Linked DNA regions of Cricetulus griseus. The protein of the gene in region 1 binds, or shares a complex with, the protein of each later gene. Links are inferred from orthologs where the notes say so. Each region holds a gene or a part of one and is shown in the gene's direction. Other genes may lie near its edges. The genes, in order: Trex1, nucleoside diphosphate kinase A and Anp32a.

Region 1 (5,894 bases):
CTGCAAACCAGGGTCGACCCAAGTATTGAGCCTTTGTTTTCCCATGTCACACTGATGGACAGTCTCCATCTCCATGCTCTGTGCTGAGACACCATACATGTACAAATTGCTACAAACATATGGCCTCAGAGTATTTTAGGTGGCCTCTCTCCCACCTACCAGTTCTCCCTTGTGCTGATGCAGGTAGTGTGGATCCAGCCCTTGCGACCTGATTCCTTGGCCACAGCCATCCCTTTGTCTCTGAGACCTGAGGGAGAAATAGCATTCATATTCTCTGTGTCTGTCTGTCTGTCTGTCTGTCTGTCTGTCTGTCTGTCTCTCTCTCTCTCTCTCTCTCTCTCTCTCTGTGTGTGTGTGTGTGTGTTTCTTGAGTGCACGGGCACTACATGTGCCTTTCACTCTGATAACAGAGACCAGTGGAGGAAAATGGTTTTCCTTGTTCTGTGAATGGCTTCATAAGACAGAGCTGTAGCCAGGTCCATGCTTGTTTCTTAGAGACTATCCTGTAGTATTGGATAAAGAACGTTTCTCATGCTGTTTTGAGAGCAGATGCAGGAAGAGGCCTGAGGGTGTGGTCATGCACCCCATATCCAGGGAGTCCTGTCCCATTTATTTCATACAAAGCTACGTAAGGGCCTGTCTTTTTTTAGGGTGAATGAGGGGTTGTGATATGCTGGTGAGGCTTGATTGCATGTAGCCTAGGCTCATCTCTAACTCATTGTGTGGTGGATCCTGCCTCTGACTCCCAAGTGCTGAGATTATGGGCATGTACCCCCCACCCCCACTGAGGGCCTGTTATTTTTAAGTCACAGCAGTCTTGTAAAGGTTAATACCTGTCTACCTGTGACAATCTTGAAGCAATAGGCCATGGTCAGGCCAGCATTTAAACCCTTGTCTGACTGCATTAAGTGTCCTTTTGCAGAGTGTCGTAACTGTGCCCATCCTTCAGGTTCTCCTGTGTGTTGCCGATGTTGCCACAGTGCCTCAGCTCAGAGCTGCCACTGCCGTGTGTGCTACTGGCTGTTGAGCTGCTCTCCCTTCTGGTGGACCATGACAGCTTTGCACAGCAGCTGTGCTTCCACTCAGGTAAAGCAGGCCAGGCTGGCTCTCAACTATCCTGTCATGGAAGGGAGGGTTTGGCGCAGGGACAGGTTCAGAGCCTCTCGGGGGGCTTCTGCACTTGGACCCCAGGCTCCAGTGAAAAGGGAGATGCTGAGTAAGGCTGGGCATCCTTTTCAGAAGGCTGCCTTCTCCTGAGGCTGTACATGTACATTACGTCAAGGCCTGACAAAGTGGCCTCAGAGACACAGTGGCTTCAGCTGGAACAAGAGGTAAGATGGGGAGACCGAGAGACTGTGCACCCCTCACCCCCTTCCTAAGAGCCCAGGGTCTTTCCTCCTGTGGGAAAACAGGAGCTACACTTGATTTTGATTAGTTTGTCGAACCACAACAGGTAAGATTTAGGGGTTCCTCACACAGATACAATACAAATGTACCCAGGATTACAATGGACTCAGCAGAGTTGCCTGATGCTGCTGCCTGGTTTGGGGGGCCTGATCCTGGCCCCAGAAGTAGGTAAGCTATTGATGAGATTCGGGTCTGAAAGCCTCGAACCACCACTACTCAGCCCCCACTTGTGTAAGCAAACAGCTGGAGAAGTAGCTAGAGCTTCTTAGAAATGCCCGAGAAAGCCCTGGTGACAAGTGTCGGGTTCTGCAAGTGACAAGCCATCTCTTCTCATTCCAGGTGGTATGGCTTTTGGCCAAGCTGAGTGTGCAGAGTCCTTCCCTGCCAGGCATTGGTTCTGACTGCCAATGCAACGTAGAGGTGAGTGGCCAGGGGCCGCAACATGCCAGCTCAGTTGGGTAAGTGGCTAGGCTGAGTGAGTCCTTAGACCTCGGTCTGTGCCCTCTCTCACCCCAGGCAGTCAGAGTGCTCACTGTGATGTTGCACAGACAATGGCTGACTGTGCGGCGGGCAGGGGGTCCAAGGACCCCCCAGCAGAAGCAGACGATGCGCTGTCTGAGGGACACTGTGCTGCTGCTGCATAGCCTGTCTCAGAAGGACAAGTTCTTTACTGTGCATTGTGTGGAGGTCCTGCATCAGTATGACCAGGTGATGCCAGGGGTCAGCATGCTGATTCGAGCCCTTCCTGATGTAGCCGATTGTGAAGGTAAGCCAGCAAGAGGACCCTGCCCGAGCCTTTATGAGCCTCTGCCTGAGGCTCATGAGATGGCAAGTTCCTTTGCTAGGCCTCAGTGCCCCCCCCCACCACCACCACCAGAGCCATTTTTCTGGCACTGTGGACATTACCTTCCTGCTCTGGTTCTTTGAGTATACTAGGTTGTCCTTTGATCATGTCCATTGAATTGGCCTAGCTGAGCCATGGTTTTTCCAGAATATATCTGTCTGAATTGCTTTTGTATCACTTTTGCTCACAGTAGCTGAGGGAGCAAAGCTTGGGCATGGAAGGGACTGGTTAGTTCCTGTGCTGCTAGGGGAGGATGGGTAGACCTCCAAGCCTCAGCACTATCAGGCTTAACCTCAGAACCCTCTTCCTTTTGGTTCAGAGGCAGCCCTGGATGACCTCTGTGCTGCGGAGACAGATTTGGAAGACTCTGAAATGGACTGTAGCTGACGGCCTGAGCAGCCGGCCACAAGGTGGCACCAGCTCCCACCACTGTCTTTGCCATATCCACTGATTAAAACTGCAGTTCCTGCTGAGAACAACAGCTTTGTTTCCTGAGTCTAGTTTGTGTGACTGAGAGCGAGGGACAGAGAAGACTAGGAACTACCTCCCTCCCCTTACTGGAGTTGAGATGGTCCCCATGGTAACTAATCTGCCTTGAGGAAATGCCCTACCCCTCTTCGGGAATTGCCCTGAGTCATAGCTTTGGGCTGGAGCCATGGGAAAAACTTTGTGTGTAGCAGAGAAGGCAGCCCTTCCCTAGGAAGGCCTGGGAAAGTGGCCCAAGGACTAGGAAAGGCAAGGAAAGCCATGGTAGAGGTTTGCAGGAGTGTTTGAACCCTGGAGACAAGCAAAGGTTAAGAGCGTTGTCAGTGTGGCAGCACTAGTCTTGTTTTATCAGCCAACTGGGATCACAGCTATGGATCTAAGGCCTTTGGGGTATTTGGAGAGAGAGGGAGGGCTTTAGCATGTGAGGGCCAGGCCTGGGATGACTAGCTGGGCGGGCCTTGTTCAGAAGGCAGGCCTATGGGCAGACCCAGGCAGTTTCACTTCCTGAGCCACTGCTGCCAGCAGCAGAACCAACACAGTGCCTTGCTGCCTGCTTCTCGGTAAGTGTGGACCTTAAGGATATGGGGTAAGAAAAGAAAAGGTTTCCCTCACCCTGAGGGTGGTCAGCACTAGGGGAAGGGCTCCTGCCTCAAAAGGATAGTAGTATGCCCAGCCCACTAGGAAAACAACCCTGTCTTCTAGCCCCTGCTCTGAAAATGGGCCCTGGATAGTGCCTGACTGAAGGGAAGGCCTGAGCTGTGCTTCTGCCCACACCCTATCCCTGTCCTGGCCCACTGTAGACTCTGCTGGCACTCATCTACCCCATGCTCCTTCCCAGGCTCAGCATGGGCTCACAGGCTCTGCCCCTCGGTCCCATGCAGACCCTCATCTTCTTGGACTTGGAAGCCACTGGCCTGCCTTTTTCTCAGCCCAAGATCACAGAGCTGTGTCTGCTGGCTGTCCATAGATGTGCCCTGGAAAACACCTCCATCTCTGCGGGACAGCCACCTCCAGTGCCCAAACCACCCCGTGTGGTGGACAAGCTCTCTCTATGCATTGCTCCAGGGAAAGCCTGTAGCCCTGCAGCCAGTGAGATCACAGGTCTGAACACAGCTGAACTGGAAGCAAATGGACGGCAACCCTTTGATGACAGCTTGGCCAACCTGCTCCAAGCCTTCCTGCAGCGCCAGCCACAGCCCTGCTGCCTTGTGGCACACAATGGTGACCGTTACGACTTTCCCCTGCTCCAGGCAGAGCTTGCTATGCTGACCATTAGAAGTCCTCTAGATGGTACCTTCTGTGTAGATAGCATTGCTGCCCTAAAGGCCTTGGAACAAGCTAGCAGCTCCTCAGAGCGTGGTCCAAGGAAGAGCTACAGCCTGGGCAGCATCTATACCCGCCTGTATGGGCAAGCACCAACAGACTCACACACTGCTGAAGGTGATGTTCTAGCCCTGCTCAGCATCTGTCAGTGGAAGCCACGGGCCCTCTTGCAGTGGGTGGATAAACATGCCCGGCCCTTTAGCACCATCAAACCCATGTATGATATTGCAGCTACTGCTGGAACAACCAAGCCAAGGCCATATGCTGCCACAACCACTACATCCCTGACCACAACCAACACAAGTCCCAGCCATGGCAGGAGCAGGCAACCCAAGAATCTTCCTCCAGCAAAGGTCCCAGAAACCCCATCAGAGGAGCTGCTGGCCCCACTGAGCCTGCTGGCCTTCCTGACCTTGGCGGTAGCCATGCTGTATGGATTCTTCTTGGCCTCACCTGGGCAATAAACCAAGGAAAATCTGACTAATAAAGACCCCCACAGCACTGACAGGTACTTGCTGCCTCCACTTCTTCACAGCCTGGGCCTCTGCCCACATTCAGGGCCCTGGGGACGAGCGAGGCCCAGCTTCAGCCCCTTGCTGTCTTAGCAGGATAATCAAACCTACCTGGCTAATAAAAGTAGGGGAAACCAAGTTCAAGAGACAGATAAAAACAGTATTTGGTGATATAGCCGAGGCTAGCAGCCCAGGCTCTGAAGAAAGAGGAAGTAGGCCCAAATGTTTGCATTTATTATAAACAAAGGTACAGAGCCTGGATGCTCCAAAATACACAACAGACACAGAGCTAGGACAGCTATTGGAACAGCAATCCACAGGGAACACCGAGGTAAAGTATTCATGTCTGGGCCAGAGCTCCCGTCTATGCCCTCCACCCCACCTTTGGTCCAGATAGCCCCTTGGCCCTGGCATCTCTGGTGCTATACAGGAGTCAGGTATTCTATGAAGCTGGTGTCAAGGGAAACAGATTATCAGAGGCCAGGTTATCCTCCAGGAACCAGGGATTTCAACCTCACACCAACTAGCACATCTCGAGGCAGAAAACAGGCAAAATGTTTGGCTAAAAGTAAAACAAGGCAGTGCAAGTAGAAACAAGCCATGGTAGACAGAGGCCCCTTGCCTAGTGGCAGGAGCCAGGCAGCAAAGGTAGAAAAACTTCCTCACTGAAGCCTGAATGCTGAGTGCATGTAGCCCTCCACATAGTCCTAGGAAAGCCACCGGGACAGTCCAGACAACTGATGGTGAGTAGATGAGGCTGTCTGGTGTGCTTTAACATTGGGAGCTGACCCACGCACGACACTGAGCTTCAGCCAGGCCCCTTGTTCTGCCCACCTACCTGCCTCACTGCAAAATGCAGCCAACCCCTGGGGACAAGCCATGGCCCTGACCAGCAGCTAGCTGGTTACTCCCCAGAGCAGGACATGTGCCCACAAAAAGCTTACTCTCCTAAGTGTGACAGGCCATGGCTGGTCACCTTGGGGTGAACTGGGAAATACCTCCTACCCCAATGTTTCTAATTTACTTGAGATTTCAGAAAGTATAATTCAAGTGAGGAAGAAAACAGGTTGGTCCCAAGCCACACTGGTAAGGGTTTGTGCCTACCTGGTCAGCATCAGGAGTCACAGGGTTAGACAAGGCACATACACCCCAGAGAGCAGTAAAGAACTGCATGCCACTCACTCACACATGACAATCAAATGGCAGCCAAAGAGGCGGGGGCAGGCTCAGGGAACTGCCTTTGGGGGGTCCATGTAGGCCGGATTGTATGGAGGCTGACTGGCAGAGTAGGGTGCAGATGAACCTCCTGAAAGTAAAGAGGA
Region 2 (6,414 bases), on another chromosome or scaffold:
CTGTGTGGCTTTGGAGCCTATCCTAGCACTTGCTCTGGAGACCAGGCTGGCCTCGAACTCACAGAGATCTGCTTGCCTCTGCCTCCCAAGTGCTGGGATTAAAGGCATATGCCACCAACACCCGGTGAAGGCATGCTTTCTTGTGCTCAGCTCACTTTCTCCATTTTATATAGTCCAGGATGCCCTGTCCCTAGCACCACATTAGCAGGATGTGTGGCAGACACCTGCAATCCCTGCATTTGGGAAGATGTGAGATTGAGGTTCAAGGTCATTTTGGCTATCTAGTAACTTTGAGGCCAACCAGGGCTATAAGAGAAACTGTCTCAAACAACAAACAATAACAAAACTTAAACTTAAACCAAGGACTTAAGCTGGACATGGTGTCTCATGCTTATAATCCCAGAATTTGGGGAGCTAAGGTAGTACTTCTGTAAGTTGTGGGCTATCCTGGGCTACATAGTGCATTAAATACTATATAGAGCAACTGCCTCCAAACAACAAGGAAAACAAAAACCCAAACCAAACCAAAGCAAAACATAAACAAATCCAGAAAACTGTCATTCTTGTTACCCACAAAAATTCTGCCCTCAACAGTTTTCCCTGTGCTCATTTATGATTTCTTGAAACTTTGTTATATGTGTACAATTGCCATCACAGTCAACATACAGAAATAGGCTAGCTACAAAATAAATTTGAGGTCAGTCTGAGCTACAAGAGGCTCTATTTCCAAACAAACCACAAATAAACAAAACCAGCAATTAACTATCTAACTAACCAACCGAACAAAGCTAAACCAAAGCTTGCTGGACTAGGCTAGGCATGGTGACAAGATTCCTTATGGTTATAGAGCACCTACTGTTATTGCAGAGAACCAGAGTTCGATCCCCAGCACCCACATCAGATTACTCACAACTGTTTGTAACTCTTGCTCCTGGGGATCTGACACCTCTCTATCTTTGTTTGGGTCTCTATTGCTGTGAAGGGACACCATGACCACTTTAACTCTTAAAAAGGAAAAGATTTAATTAAGGTGGTGTCTTATAGTTCAGAGATTCAGTCCATTATCTTCAAGGCAGGGAACATGGTAGTGTACAGGCAGACTTGGTGCTGGCTACACCTTGATCTGAAGGCAACAGGAAGTTGACAGGTAGTGGGGGGTATCCTGAGCATAGGAAACCTCAAAGCCCACCTCCATAGTGACACCCTTTCTCTAATCACTCCAACAAAGCCATATCTCCTAATAGTGCTATGAGCTTATGGGGGGGGTTGACCACCTCAAACATAGACATACACATGAACACATAAACAATCACAAATAATACCAGATGAGACGCCTTTAATCCTAGTACACAGGGGACATAGACAGGTGGATCTCTAAGAGTTAGAGATCAGCTGGGTCTACATAGTGAGACCTTGCCTCGAAAAAACAAAACAAAACAATAATAATTAAAAAAAAATCCTCTTACATCTCTGTGAGTTTGAGGCCAGCCTGGTCTACAGAGCAAGTTCCAGGACAACCTCCAAAGCAAATACAGAGAGACCCTGTCTCGAAAAAGAAAACAAAAGACGTATAGGAGGAGAAAGCTTTGTGGGGCGTTGGTGGTTTAATCCCAGCACTCGGGAGGTAGAGGCAGGAGGATCTCTGTGAGTTCGAGGCCAGCCTGGTCTACAGAGTGAGTGCCAGGATAGCCTCCAAAGCTACAGAGAAACTCTGTCTCAGGAAACCAAAAAATCCTCTTACAACAATAAAAAAATTCTTCTACTGAGTTTCCTACCATCCAAGGCTACTATAATTCTCCGCTCTCTAATAATAGGCTTGCTCCTTTATCACTAAACTTCATGTAGGTCTATTTGATTTTCACTTCTGCAGCGATTTCTCAACCTTATTTTTCTTCCCTGCTCTGATCTTTCTTCACAGCACTTACATAACTCCGTGCGTTCACTATCAATTTCTTTTCATTGTTTGTCCCAATTTTCAACCCTCCCAGAAACCTCAAGTGAGTTTACTGCTTTATCCCTGGGTTCTAGAACAGTGCCTGCTGGGCACATAGTATTTAGTACATTTGCTGCTTGACAGGGCGAAGAGAAGCGGAGTGACTGGGGCTTTAGTTCTATTCCGTGCAGTGTGAGCGCCACCTCCCGGGCAACCAAATCGTCTCGGGAACGGAGGAAGTGAGTTACACGACAGTAGGGGCAGGAACAAAAGATGGCCGCCAGCCGGAAAAGCCGGGGAGGGGGCGGGGGGATACACACGACAAAAACAAAAACCACACCCAGTGCCGGAAGTTAAACCCTGGAAAGAGTGCCCTCCTACTCACCGGAGGAAGCGGGGACTGGCGGTGTTCCACCAAAAGGGCTCTCCTGAATCAGAACTGTTCCGAAAGGTTCCGTGCGAGCCGCTGCTCGAAACCACGTGAGGCCAGGACGTGTTTCCGGTGCAGCCGGAGAGAGAGACTGGCTTCTGAAGGGGTGAGAGGGGTTCGGGTGCTGAGGGAAAGGGAACGTTGAGGGCCTAGGTAAGCGGAGAGGGAGGTGGGTGTGAAATGAAGGGAAAGGGGTGCATTCTCTGAGAGGCGTTGAGGAAGATCGCGGCCTCGACTGTGGACAGGTGCAGACCTGTCAGCCTGACACGTGGGCTCGCCTTTGTCTGTGGCCGCAGTTCCTGTCAGACTGCGCCGGCACGGCTGTGCCTTACCCTCCTTCCAGCCCTGTGCTGAGCGCAGAGCTTGCTGAATAAATGACACGTGTGTGTGTGCGTGTGTGTGTCTGTGTGTCTGTGTGTGTGTGTCTGTGTCTGTGTGTCTGTGTTCGGTGTGCAGAGCCTTTCATAGGGGCTGTTTCTGAGGGATCTATTCTTGTTCCACATTCCTTCAGAGATTCTCCAGCTTGTCTGCGGGTTCTGTCTGTCTTCGGAAGGCATGATTGGCCTTTTAAAGCATCTTCTTTGCTCCTATTGACTGCCAGGCCCTGTGGCTTGGAATCAAAGCAGGGGCTGGAGTAGATCAACTCTTTTATGCAGGTCACAGATCCGAGAGGCGGGAGAGGGGAGGAAGGCACCAACAGAAATGATCATTAAAAGATTATGTATTATTGTATGTTCCTGTGCATGCATGCCTTAGCACACTTGTGAACACACCAGAAGACAACTTCGTGGAATGGGCCCGAGGGACCAAACTCAGGTTTGTGGTACAAAAACCTTTGCTCACTGAACCATCTAGCTGGGTCAGGCCCCATTCTTTATTTTATTTTATTTATTTTTACTTTTGGCTTTTAGAGACAGGGTTTCTCTGTGGCTTTGGAGGCTGTCCTGGAACTAGCTCTTGTAGACCAGGCTGGTCTCTAACTCACAGATCTGCCTGCCTCTGCCTCCCGAAACCTGGGATTAAAGGCATTCGCCACCACCGCCCGTCGCAGGCCCCATTCTTAATGTATAAAATCAGAGGTTAATTCATGTTTAGGCAGCCAGGTCCAGGAGCTGGTGTTTCTATCCTCTTAGGTATTGTCTTTCAAGGTGGAGTCTTCTTTCATTTTGTGGGATTGTGTTCCCTGGAAATGGAAGGTTCTGGAATGGATGCTCTCCAGGTGTCTTCCCTCAGTGATGATGAATTGTGCTGTGGGTCTCCCATAAGCCACTGTTCATTGACTACTCATTGCACTTTCCCCCAGTACACAGTTTAATAAATGTTAATTGCTATTCTTACTAATGGACCTTCAATTTTCTTGTCCTTTTATTCTCTGACAGTTTTATACATGTATGTAATAGTTAGTCATCCCCCTCCTCCATTACAATCTTTGGCTCTCCTGTTCCTGTTGAACTCCTTTCCTGTGAGTCCCCTCCTACCTTCATGTCTTTGTGTGTGTGTGTGTGTGTGTGTGTTGGGGGGGAGACTGAGTTTAATTAGAATTGCGTGCTTCATTGATGGAGGAGTTAATTGCTGGAGCAGCTTACCCATGGCTGTATCCCTGAAGAAAATGATACCCACTCACCCACAGCCGTTAATCACCGTTAGCTTCCTAGGCAGGGGTAAGGCCTTGGGCCTATGAGTCCCTCCCCTTCTGTGATGGAGCATAGTCATTGCATCTTTTCTCTCTTTTCTCTTGTTTCTTGAAACAGAGTCTTATGTAGCTCAGTTCAGGTTGGGATCATTGACATGGGCTACCACACCTCCCCACTACGCTCAGCTCTATTTTCTTTTCATTCCCCTTTTTTCTTTTTTGAGTCAGGGTTTTAGGTTGCCCAGGCCAGCCTGGAATCCTCTGCCCTTTGGCCTTAGCCTTCCTAGTGGTAGGATTATTGGCACACATCCTCAGTCATTACATCTTAGGGAGTATCCCAAACTGTATAGGGCTGGGAAATCTTATTCTTTGTAGAATGAAGATTGTTGGTTTTTTTTTTTTATTTTTTATTTATTATGTATACAACATTCTGCTTCCATGTATATCTGCACACCAGAAGAGGAAACCAGATCTCATAACGGGTGGTTGTGAGCCACCATGTGGTTGCTGGGAATTGAACTCAGGACCTCTGGAAGAACAGTCAGTGCTCTTAACCTCTGAGCCATCTCTCCAGCCCCCAAAGGTGGTTGTTATGACATAGTCTCTAAAACTCTTGTGGGTTCTAATGCTGTTGGTCATACTGTGTTGAATCAGATGTAACTTTCAGTAGGAAAACCATATCATTGCATTTTCCCCTTACTGGTATTACCACAAGAAAAAAAAAATTGGTATCTTTTTAGTGTGTCTTAGTTTTATGTCTCCCTTTTTAGTTCTATCACAGTATTAAGTACATAACAGAAGCTCAATAGGAGTGTATGAAATCAAGTAGATTAGAAATTACATTTCTTCTTTTGAACCCTTTTCTACTTTCAGATCAAAATTCATTGATGAGTGAACTGGGCAGGGATTGGGATTTTACTAGAGAGACTTAAAGTAGACATAATATATTAAATCCAGTTTTATGAGAGAGTAATCCGCTTGAGAAGGATCATGATGAGGGAGGGTAGAGATTCTGTCCTGTTTCATTCCCTGCTTATCTCTCCAGGACCATGGCCAACAGTGAGCGCACCTTCATTGCTATCAAGCCTGATGGGGTCCAGCGGGGTCTGGTGGGCGAGATCATCAAGCGTTTTGAACAGAAGGGATTCCGACTTGTTGGCCTGAAATTTATGCAGGTGAGTGGACCTCACATTTCCTGTTTTGGTATTTGGAATATAGTAGAATATTGCAGAGTAACTTCTGTGTTTGCTTTGTTTCCTGTCTAGACTTCCCCATGGTAGGGTGTCTTCTCAGTGACCAAGCATGTTGGCTGAATCTTGGAACAAACCAAGTCATTTGGGGCTTTCAAAACTAGTCTGTCTTTACCCCTAACATTGTAGAATTCCACGTATTACTGCAGATCTGTAATTTCTGACTCAGCTCTGTGAGTGTTTTGGAGCTCTTGGTCTCTAGCCTCCTGAACAGATAATTTTAGAGACTATCCTTCCACCCCCACGGCCTTCAAGATAGGCTGTCAGGAAGAAAATCTTTGCTTTACTAATTACTACCTGATAGTGCCTAGCATGAGTCAGGCATGATACGTGGGGCTTTGTAGGGAAAGCTGCAATTTTGCTTGTGGGGGCTCCTCACAGAACAGAGAAAGGAAACAATTCTAATACTCTTGGTGATCTTCCTTTCTCAGTATTCTGAGTCCTGGGGTTCTGTGCATAAGTCATCATCCACTCAGATAACAATATTCCAATAAATACCAAGAATTCATTGGCCAAGAACTCTTCTTCAAGCAGATCTATGAGATGTGAATTCTAGTTCTCAAAGCAAATACATTAGGGGGCACCATATTTTTTTCCCATTCTAGCAATACACTTTTGGTTCATAGTGTATTTTGAGTTCAATTTAATTTTCAATGTTGAGTTTTTATTTCATTATTATTTTGCTGCTGTTTTTGAGTTAGCTGAATAGCCCTGGCTAGCCTGGAACCTTCTTTGTAGACCAGGCTAGCCACTAACTCACAGAGTGCTGCCTCTGCCTCCAGAGTGTTGGGATTAAAGGTGTGTACTACTGTGCTCAGATGCACTCTTGTTTTTTTTTTTTTAATTTGTATTTATGAGTATGTACGTGTGCCTGTTTGTGTGTAATGCGCACCATATATGTACAGGTGCATGTGGAGGCCAGGAGATGGTATCAGAACCCCTGGAACTGGAGTTATAAATTGTTGTGAGCCACCTGATATGGGTGTGAGAACCAAACTCAGGGCCTCTGCAAGAGCAGCAAGTGCTTTTAACCACTGAGCCATCTCTCCAGCCACTGTTTGTTTGTTTGTTTATTTTAAAGACAGGGTTTCTCTATGTAGTCCTGGCTGGCAGTCCTGGCACTTACTCTGTAGACCAGGCTGGATTCAGCCTCACAGAGATCTGCCTG
Region 3 (6,654 bases), about 43 Mb from region 1:
CCTTGGAGGAAGGTGCCCTTCTTATTTGACGGCCACCCCTTTCTATAAGGGCTCAAAACTTGATTTGCATCTCATCAATTCTCAGCAGAACACAAACCCTGTTGCAGACTGCCTATCCCTCATCACCCAATCAACGCCTGCTGCTGGTTCCCTCTGTAAGGAGGGACAGCACCTGTTCCCTATCCATATAAAAGTTCCTCCAAGAAGCCACAGGAAGCCTTCTCTCACTGCCTTCCTGAAATGCAGATTGATGCAGAGCAGCACTACTACTATAATACACAATAAAACTATAATAACCCTGTAAATAATAATTGCACACATTCACATGTGTGGATATATACCCAAGTCTTACAGGGCAAATGTCTGAGCTGTCCTATTGAACCATGGAAGTCCTATTAACCACCAAAGTCCTATTAAAACTTTGTAGATAAACTACAAGCCAAAGGAACTTTCTTCCTTCAGCAGGCACTAGCAGGTGGCAATACTCAAAGTGCTTTGATTTTTGAGCTTCTATACTGACTGACATCCAGAGAAAGCCATCTTCTAGTTTTGTGACACTAAATACAAAAGCAGTTATTCAAAAACTGTAAAGTTAAGGTGCTCCAAAACCAAGTTATATTTAACACTTTCAGTGATGAGGTCACCATTTTTTTTTCCCATCCTCATTTAGTCTCTAGTATTCTGGTTTCTCTTCAGATCATATGAAATGCCTGCCTTTTCATAATTTTGTTTCTGTATATTCTCCATTAAGGGTGTATATGTGGAGTGGTTATGGGGGTGGGGTTGCGATCCCAAGTAGTTCTCTTCTGTCTCTGTCAAGTGGGCTGTTTGGTCTACTTAGCAGAGATAGAAAGGGGCACCTTTCCTGTGGAAAGGACTCTCCCACAACACTGCTGTTAGCAGGGACCTCAAGTGTGGTCCAGGGTTTAAGTGGTGAATGAGCATTTACCATTCCAAAGAGCATGAAATTCAAGACTCCTGTTGTATAGATTCTGCACACCATCCCCTCTTAATATACTTGTGAAGTAAAACTATTGTTTTGTTTTGTTTTGTTTTTTGGTTTTTTGGAGACAGGGTTTCTCTGTGCAGCTTTGGAGCCTATCCTGGCACTCGCTCTGGAGATCAGGCTGGCCTCGAACTCAAGAGATCCGCCTGCCTCTGCCTCCGGAGTGCTGGGATTAAAGGCGTGTGCCATCAACACCCGGCTAAAACTATTGTTTTGAAAACATTAACTATCATATACAGAAATAAAACTGATTCAATGGCAAAGAGGTAATTTGCAGTCCCCTGTGTTTTAAAAAGGAACCAATACAATTGAAAAATTCCAGTTACACGGCCTTCATAAAAATTAACAAAATCTAAGGATATGTTAAATGGACAACTTAAAGAAATTATGCCATATTCACCCAGATGTCATGTTTTTATTTTGTACTTCCAGTTACTTAGAATAAACATTTATCGGCTTCCAAGTTCAACTATTATTTGATCTAAAAGAATTTACTGAATAAAATGCTCAGTTCCAATGTATGCGAAAAAGATAAAACTACCTTGGGGTGTTTACGATAGAGGAAGAAGAAACAAGAGAAAAGGATACTATGATAGTTGTGTGGATGAAGTTAAACATGAGTCCCTGTTGACAGTCATCCCCGTGATTTGTCCACAGCCACAGATATCCACGCTGTACATGAGGTCCCAGGGTGGCTCATAAGAAGCTGATAACCCAGTGGGAACCGGGGCTTTTAAGGTCTATTAAAAACGTAACTTGCTCGAACAAAAACAAAACCCAAAGCAACCGAAACACCTGGATAAATGCTACAGTTAGCGACTCCTTGGCAACTCAGATCTAACCAAACGACTGGTGGACGATGAGAAAGAAATCGTGCGACGCTCTCAACAAAACCTATAAAACCCGTAAATTATGTTCGGCTCTGCGAATCGGCAGTTACTAGCACCTTTCGCATTTCCTAATATTGTATACAGCTCTGCATCCGCAGCCTTTTCATTCATTTATTGCCCTACACAAGATCTCCAGTGGCTCTCGGGGAATCGCCTCTTGTAAGGCTGCCCTGGCAGGAGATCAGAATGCCAAGCTTCTGGGTCGAGATCCCGCCCTCGCTCCTCAGACGGTAGGAACATCATGCGCTTAGACTTGCTTATTTAATTGCGGGATGGGAGAAGATCTAGTCCGAAGGGATGCGTCGAGCAGGCAGCCCGGGGTGTGATCTGTCCTTCGTGCGCCCCCAGAACGCACGCCCTCCCTAGGCCTGCCCTGCGCCCGCGCGCCCCAGGCCTCGTCTGCCCGCTAAGCACCCAGAGGATGCCCCCGTGAGGACCCCGCCCCTCCCGCGTCCACGCACCTGCGGCCCCGCCCCGGCCACGAACCTTCAGGTCCACGCACCTGCCCTGCCTTCCCTCCCGCCCCCCGCGCGCAGCCACCAAAGCGGCAGCCGCGCTCCTCCTCGGTCGCCCGGGTATCTAAAGGGGTCCGTCTCCGGCACCACAGCCAAATGGCTGAGCCTCCCTGGCCCGCTGCGCAGGCCGCCCATTGGACCCTGCCCCCCGCCGCCGCCACCACTATTGGCTGGCATCAGAAGCCTCGCCACTCGATTGGTTCGTGCTGCCGCCACTCCACGCCGGAGCCGTAGGTTCCGCCTCCACGGCGATCAGGTTAGTGTGCGCCGCGGGTGCTGGGGGCTCGAGAACCGAGCGGAGCTGGTTGAGCCTTCAAAGTCCTAAAACGCGCGGCCGTGGGTTCGGGGTTTATTGATTGAATTCCGCTGGCGCAGGATCCTCTGCAGAGAGAGAGAGCGCGAGAGATGGATATGGACAAACGGATTCATTTAGAGCTGCGGAACAGGACGCCCTCTGATGTGAGCATTTGCCAAAAATATCTCTGTCGGTCCATTCTCCTACTTTGTGTTATGTGTGCGTGTGTTTTGGGGGGGAAGGCACTTTTTTATGGAGGTGGGCTCCGAGGAGGTGTAGGGTTTAGGGTTGGACTGCAAATGAATTGCAAGGTTGGATGGGGGGGGGGTTGCAATGCCATCGGAGCATGTTCTGGCCACCGCTGCCGCTGCCCTTGGTGTGTGACTGACTACCTGTGCGTGTGCTCCCGCGTGTGCGGGTATGGGTGCGAGGGTGTGCGTACGAATGTGCACCCAGCGGGGGGCCGGCGGGGCGCACGCGTTCGGGTCGGAGGGAACGCTGCGATCTCACCCTCGTCCGAGCTCTCAGCTCCCACGACTCGCGTCTGGATGGAAAAGATGATTGAGGGGAGGAGAAGATGGGCTGCCTCCTGGATTAAACAACAAAAAGGGGGTGTTATATTTTAGAAACGTACCCCCCTTTCCGCCCCCTCTCGCGCCTGCCCCCTCCCTTTGCCGTCTCTTTCGCTCGCTGGTTCTCTCGCACACAATAAGTTTTGGGAATCGCGAGTCCGGTTTAGTTTCTGATCAATGTGGCCCGAGGCCCCCGGGGACAGCGCGTGGGGACCCGGCTGCTGCGGAGTTGGGAGATGGCTCGAGTTTAAAGCGCGTCTTCGTTTCTCTGCGGGGATGAGGCGAGAGGTGGGGAGCCATATTTGTAACTTTGTCGTGTTCGTGAACGCGCCCTTTCTCTCCCTCCCTCTCTTTCTCTGCCTGCCTTCCTTCTTCTCCTTTCTCTCTCACTCTTTCCACCCCACCTTTGGGCCAGATGCTGTCTTTTCTCCCTTCTTCTTCGCGGAAAGGGGGGGGGTTACCTTAGAAGGAGGGGGAGGGATTGTGGAGTGTGCAAATGCTCAGATAATCCTCACGCCTCCCCAACCACGAGCGATCGCTAGTGTAAGTTGCCCAAAGGCTGCGTCCCGGTGAGCCTCTGGCCCCCGGCTACCTCCCCAGATGCAAGCCTTGGCACCCTGATACCCCAACGGCACCAGTTACCCCACCTCCGGGTCCCTGCTTCTCCCGGGGTGGGCTCCCTGGCAGCCATTCGGCGCCTGATTAATAAATGGGCACGGGAAACTTTATCAGGACCCGAGGTGCCCAGAGCTGGTGCTGCTTTGGGGACCGGCCGGGTCTACATTCTTGCGGGCACGGCTGGCACGCAGCTCTGGAATGGGCAGTTCGTCTGGCCGTAGCCGTTATGGATTGGGTAGCGGCGGGAGTATGGCAGGAGGAAACTTACACCGGTGGGAATAGGCAGGCTGGGCGCTAGCCCACTGCAATGGGAAGTGAGGGTGGGTGGGTGACTCGAACGCTACTGTTTATTTTTGTCTCCCTCTCGCTTTCACACACTCGTGTTGTCTGCGAGTTGGTCCATCCGAGAGACCCTAAGCTCTGGGGTGGAAACCCCGGCCGGCTTCCCTTCAAGGTCCGGTCGTGAGGAGAAGGGGCTCGCGGGCGGGAAGATCCTCTAGGTCCAGCCTGGGTGTTCGGGGTTCGGGCGAGTTGGGGGGCTCGCGCAGCACGTTGCACTGACCCTGTCGCCCCGCCAGCCACTTGGCCCCTCGAATCCTGACAAAGGCAGGCCTCGTTTCCTCTTTTCCCCTAGTTCCTCCCTCCAAACCTGAGTAAGACTTTTGAAAACAAGCTCCTTTCTGCCGTCCGCCCATCCTCACGCAGTTGTGCACTGGAGACGTGCTACAGCCTTATGGCGCGCAGGGCGGAGAGGAGGGGGCGCCGCCGGCAGCAAGTCCTGCCGCGGGGCACGGCCGGTGGCGTCCCGACCCAGCCCCGGTGCCCGATCCCGGAGGTGGAGGGGGCTGGGTGTGGTGCTGGGGGAGGGGGCCGAAGGCGGGCTTCCCGCGTACTTTCCGGAAGACCCCTGTATGTAGTTGGGGGGCTTCGGGGTCTCGGCGAGTAAGTGCGCATAAGCGCCGGGCCGGGCCGGGCCGAGAGACCCACAGTACTAGCCAACCCGGAGCGAATCAGAAAGCGGGTCGAACCGGCTCTTTAAACTTCCCCGAGTGTGTGCACTGGGGGAGGGGCGGGCGCTCCGGGCTGGGCGCGATTTCTCACGCTTCGCCCCCTCGCCTCGAGTCCCCGGCCCACTCGCCGGCCCCGGGGCTCCTGGCGGGGTGGGGCGCGCGGGTGGCGGGGGAGGGGGCACTTGCTGCACATGGGGGAGGGGAGGGCAGAAAGCTCTCGAAAGAGGGACAAAAGGGGTGGGGGAGGAGGAACTGGCTTTTTTTGTTGTTGTTTTTCTGGTTTTTTGTTTTTTCAAATAAACGTTTTTGGAAAGCAGATCGTTCCGGGGAACCTCCCTCCCCAGAGTATCCCCCACGCACCCACCTTCTGCTACCTCTCTCCCAAGTCGCATCTCGGGGACTGGTGGCCGCGACGCCGCTGAACTAGGACGAGCAGCCATGTTTCCCGGGGCGCCGGCGGCCCGCCCCTCCCCCACGGCGGCCGCGGACCCGACTCGGCGGGGACCCGGGTGCCCCAGCGGAGGGGATCCGGGCGCGCACAGGCGCAGCAGAAGCCCGGCGGCGCCGGCCTGGGGATCGGGTCTGAAGAGAGCGCGGCGGGCCAGGGGCCCTCGACCTGCTCGGACCTGCAGACCCCTGTCTGTCCTCGCCATTTGCACTGCTAGGCCGGCGGGAGACCCAGCCCCAGGGTGCCTGGCATTCTCGGGGTACAGAGACGGCCGGCCCCGGCTCTATGCCGGTGGCTCGCCTGCTGGGCGCCGAGCTGCCATTTTGTCACCGTGTCTGTTGTCGCGCTGGGGGGGGGGGGCGAAAGGCTTGCGCCATCGCCCCGACGGCCGCCCTCCAGCGAGGTGGCTTCTGGGGGAACTGTCCCCAGGGACACCCCACCCCACTTTTGCGTTTGGCCTTATGGGGGCCCCCACCCTGCGCCCGGGGTCTGAGGATCCCGAGGGTATCGCAGCCCTGAGAAGGTGACGATCTCCTTAGCCAGTCCTGTCCCGTGCCCCCCCCCGCCCCCCGCCGCCGCCGCCTTGGCTCCCTGCCTCCAACCCCCCCCCCCCCCGCGCTCGGTTTTCCGCCGTGGCTCCCGCTGCGCTCTGCACGTAGTGAAAGGTGGCCTTGAAGGCGAAACGATCGCTCTGGTGTTTGCGCCTTCGGCGGAAATGATGGGGTGGTGTTTGGGGGGTGGGGGTGAAACTGGAGGGCGGGAGGGGGGCTCAAGCTCGCCAGTCTGGTGGCCCTAACTGAAGTCGAGGGCGTCGGCCTCCTACCCGGGAGGGACGAGTTGTCGGGATGCGTTGGGGAAACGCCCTCCGGGGCTGGGCTCCCTAGAAAGGTTGGTCGAGTTTCAGGTGGGTGTCCAGCACCCTGCAGGTTGGGGGAGCTCTCTCGCTATTTATCCTTTGCCCCCCTCTCCTTTTTTCCTTTTTGTTTTGGCGGGGAAGGTAGCTAACTACAAAGTAAACCTCCACCCTAAACCGAAAGAGAATAGGACTTTCCTTTAAAAAAAAAAAAGTAATCTTTTTGTGTTGACTTAAGACTCAGGCAATTTGTTCCCATTGCTGGTCCGGATGTGGGACTTAAGCGTGTGGTAGGCACCTCCCTGGCTGTAGGCTAGTGTCTGCATGCAGAGTCTAACTTCCATGGAAGTGTCCGGCAAAGGCTGCCTTCAGAGCCAGCGTCTACTTTGACCTCTGGAATCTATTGCATTTTCCCCCCAGCTTGACTTACTGCCTAATTGGGTTCAA

What was found.
Region 2: Trex1 (region 1) and nucleoside diphosphate kinase A share a complex: the UniProt entries of both Homo sapiens proteins name them as parts of the SET complex. The link is inferred for Cricetulus griseus from reciprocal best matches to the Homo sapiens genes TREX1 and NME1.
Region 3: Trex1 (region 1) and Anp32a share a complex: the UniProt entries of both Homo sapiens proteins name them as parts of the SET complex. The link is inferred for Cricetulus griseus from reciprocal best matches to the Homo sapiens genes TREX1 and ANP32A.

Annotation. Positions count from the first base shown.
Region 1 is NC_048597.1:217,167,806-217,173,699, reverse strand, and holds Trex1 (three-prime repair exonuclease 1), read left to right. Parts: upstream 1-2,878; 5' UTR 2,879-3,214; coding exon 3,215-3,297; intron 3,298-3,575; coding exon 3,576-4,524; 3' UTR 4,525-4,567; downstream 4,568-5,894. Other genes in the region: Atrip (ATR-interacting protein), read left to right, coding at 950-1,086, 1,240-1,331, 1,747-1,827, 1,924-2,173, 2,571-2,638; Shisa5 (protein shisa-5), read right to left, coding at 5,799-5,878. UniProt on the Homo sapiens protein: Major cellular 3'-to-5' DNA exonuclease which digests single-stranded DNA (ssDNA) and double-stranded DNA (dsDNA) with mismatched 3' termini. Prevents cell-intrinsic initiation of autoimmunity.
Region 2 is NC_048600.1:106,878,322-106,884,735, reverse strand, and holds the start of nucleoside diphosphate kinase A, read left to right. Parts: upstream 1-2,310; 5' UTR 2,311-2,469; intron 2,470-3,119; exon of another isoform or gene 3,120-3,179; intron 3,180-5,038; exon of another isoform or gene 5,039-5,041; 5' UTR 5,042-5,045; coding exon 5,046-5,171; intron 5,172-6,414. UniProt on the Homo sapiens protein: Major role in the synthesis of nucleoside triphosphates other than ATP. The ATP gamma phosphate is transferred to the NDP beta phosphate via a ping-pong mechanism, using a phosphorylated active-site intermediate.
Region 3 is NC_048597.1:173,856,635-173,863,288, forward strand, and holds the start of Anp32a (acidic leucine-rich nuclear phosphoprotein 32 family member A), read left to right. Parts: upstream 1-2,792; 5' UTR 2,793-2,816; coding exon 2,817-2,870; intron 2,871-3,098; coding exon of another isoform or gene 3,099-3,295; intron 3,296-3,413; coding exon of another isoform or gene 3,414-3,546; intron 3,547-4,164; exon of another isoform or gene 4,165-5,259; intron 5,260-5,270; coding exon of another isoform or gene 5,271-5,559; exon of another isoform or gene 5,560-5,928; intron 5,929-6,654. Other genes in the region: uncharacterized protein LOC113835543, read right to left, coding at 2,761-2,792, 3,099-3,295, 3,414-3,546, 5,271-5,559. UniProt on the Homo sapiens protein: Multifunctional protein that is involved in the regulation of many processes including tumor suppression, apoptosis, cell cycle progression or transcription. Promotes apoptosis by favouring the activation of caspase-9/CASP9 and allowing apoptosome formation.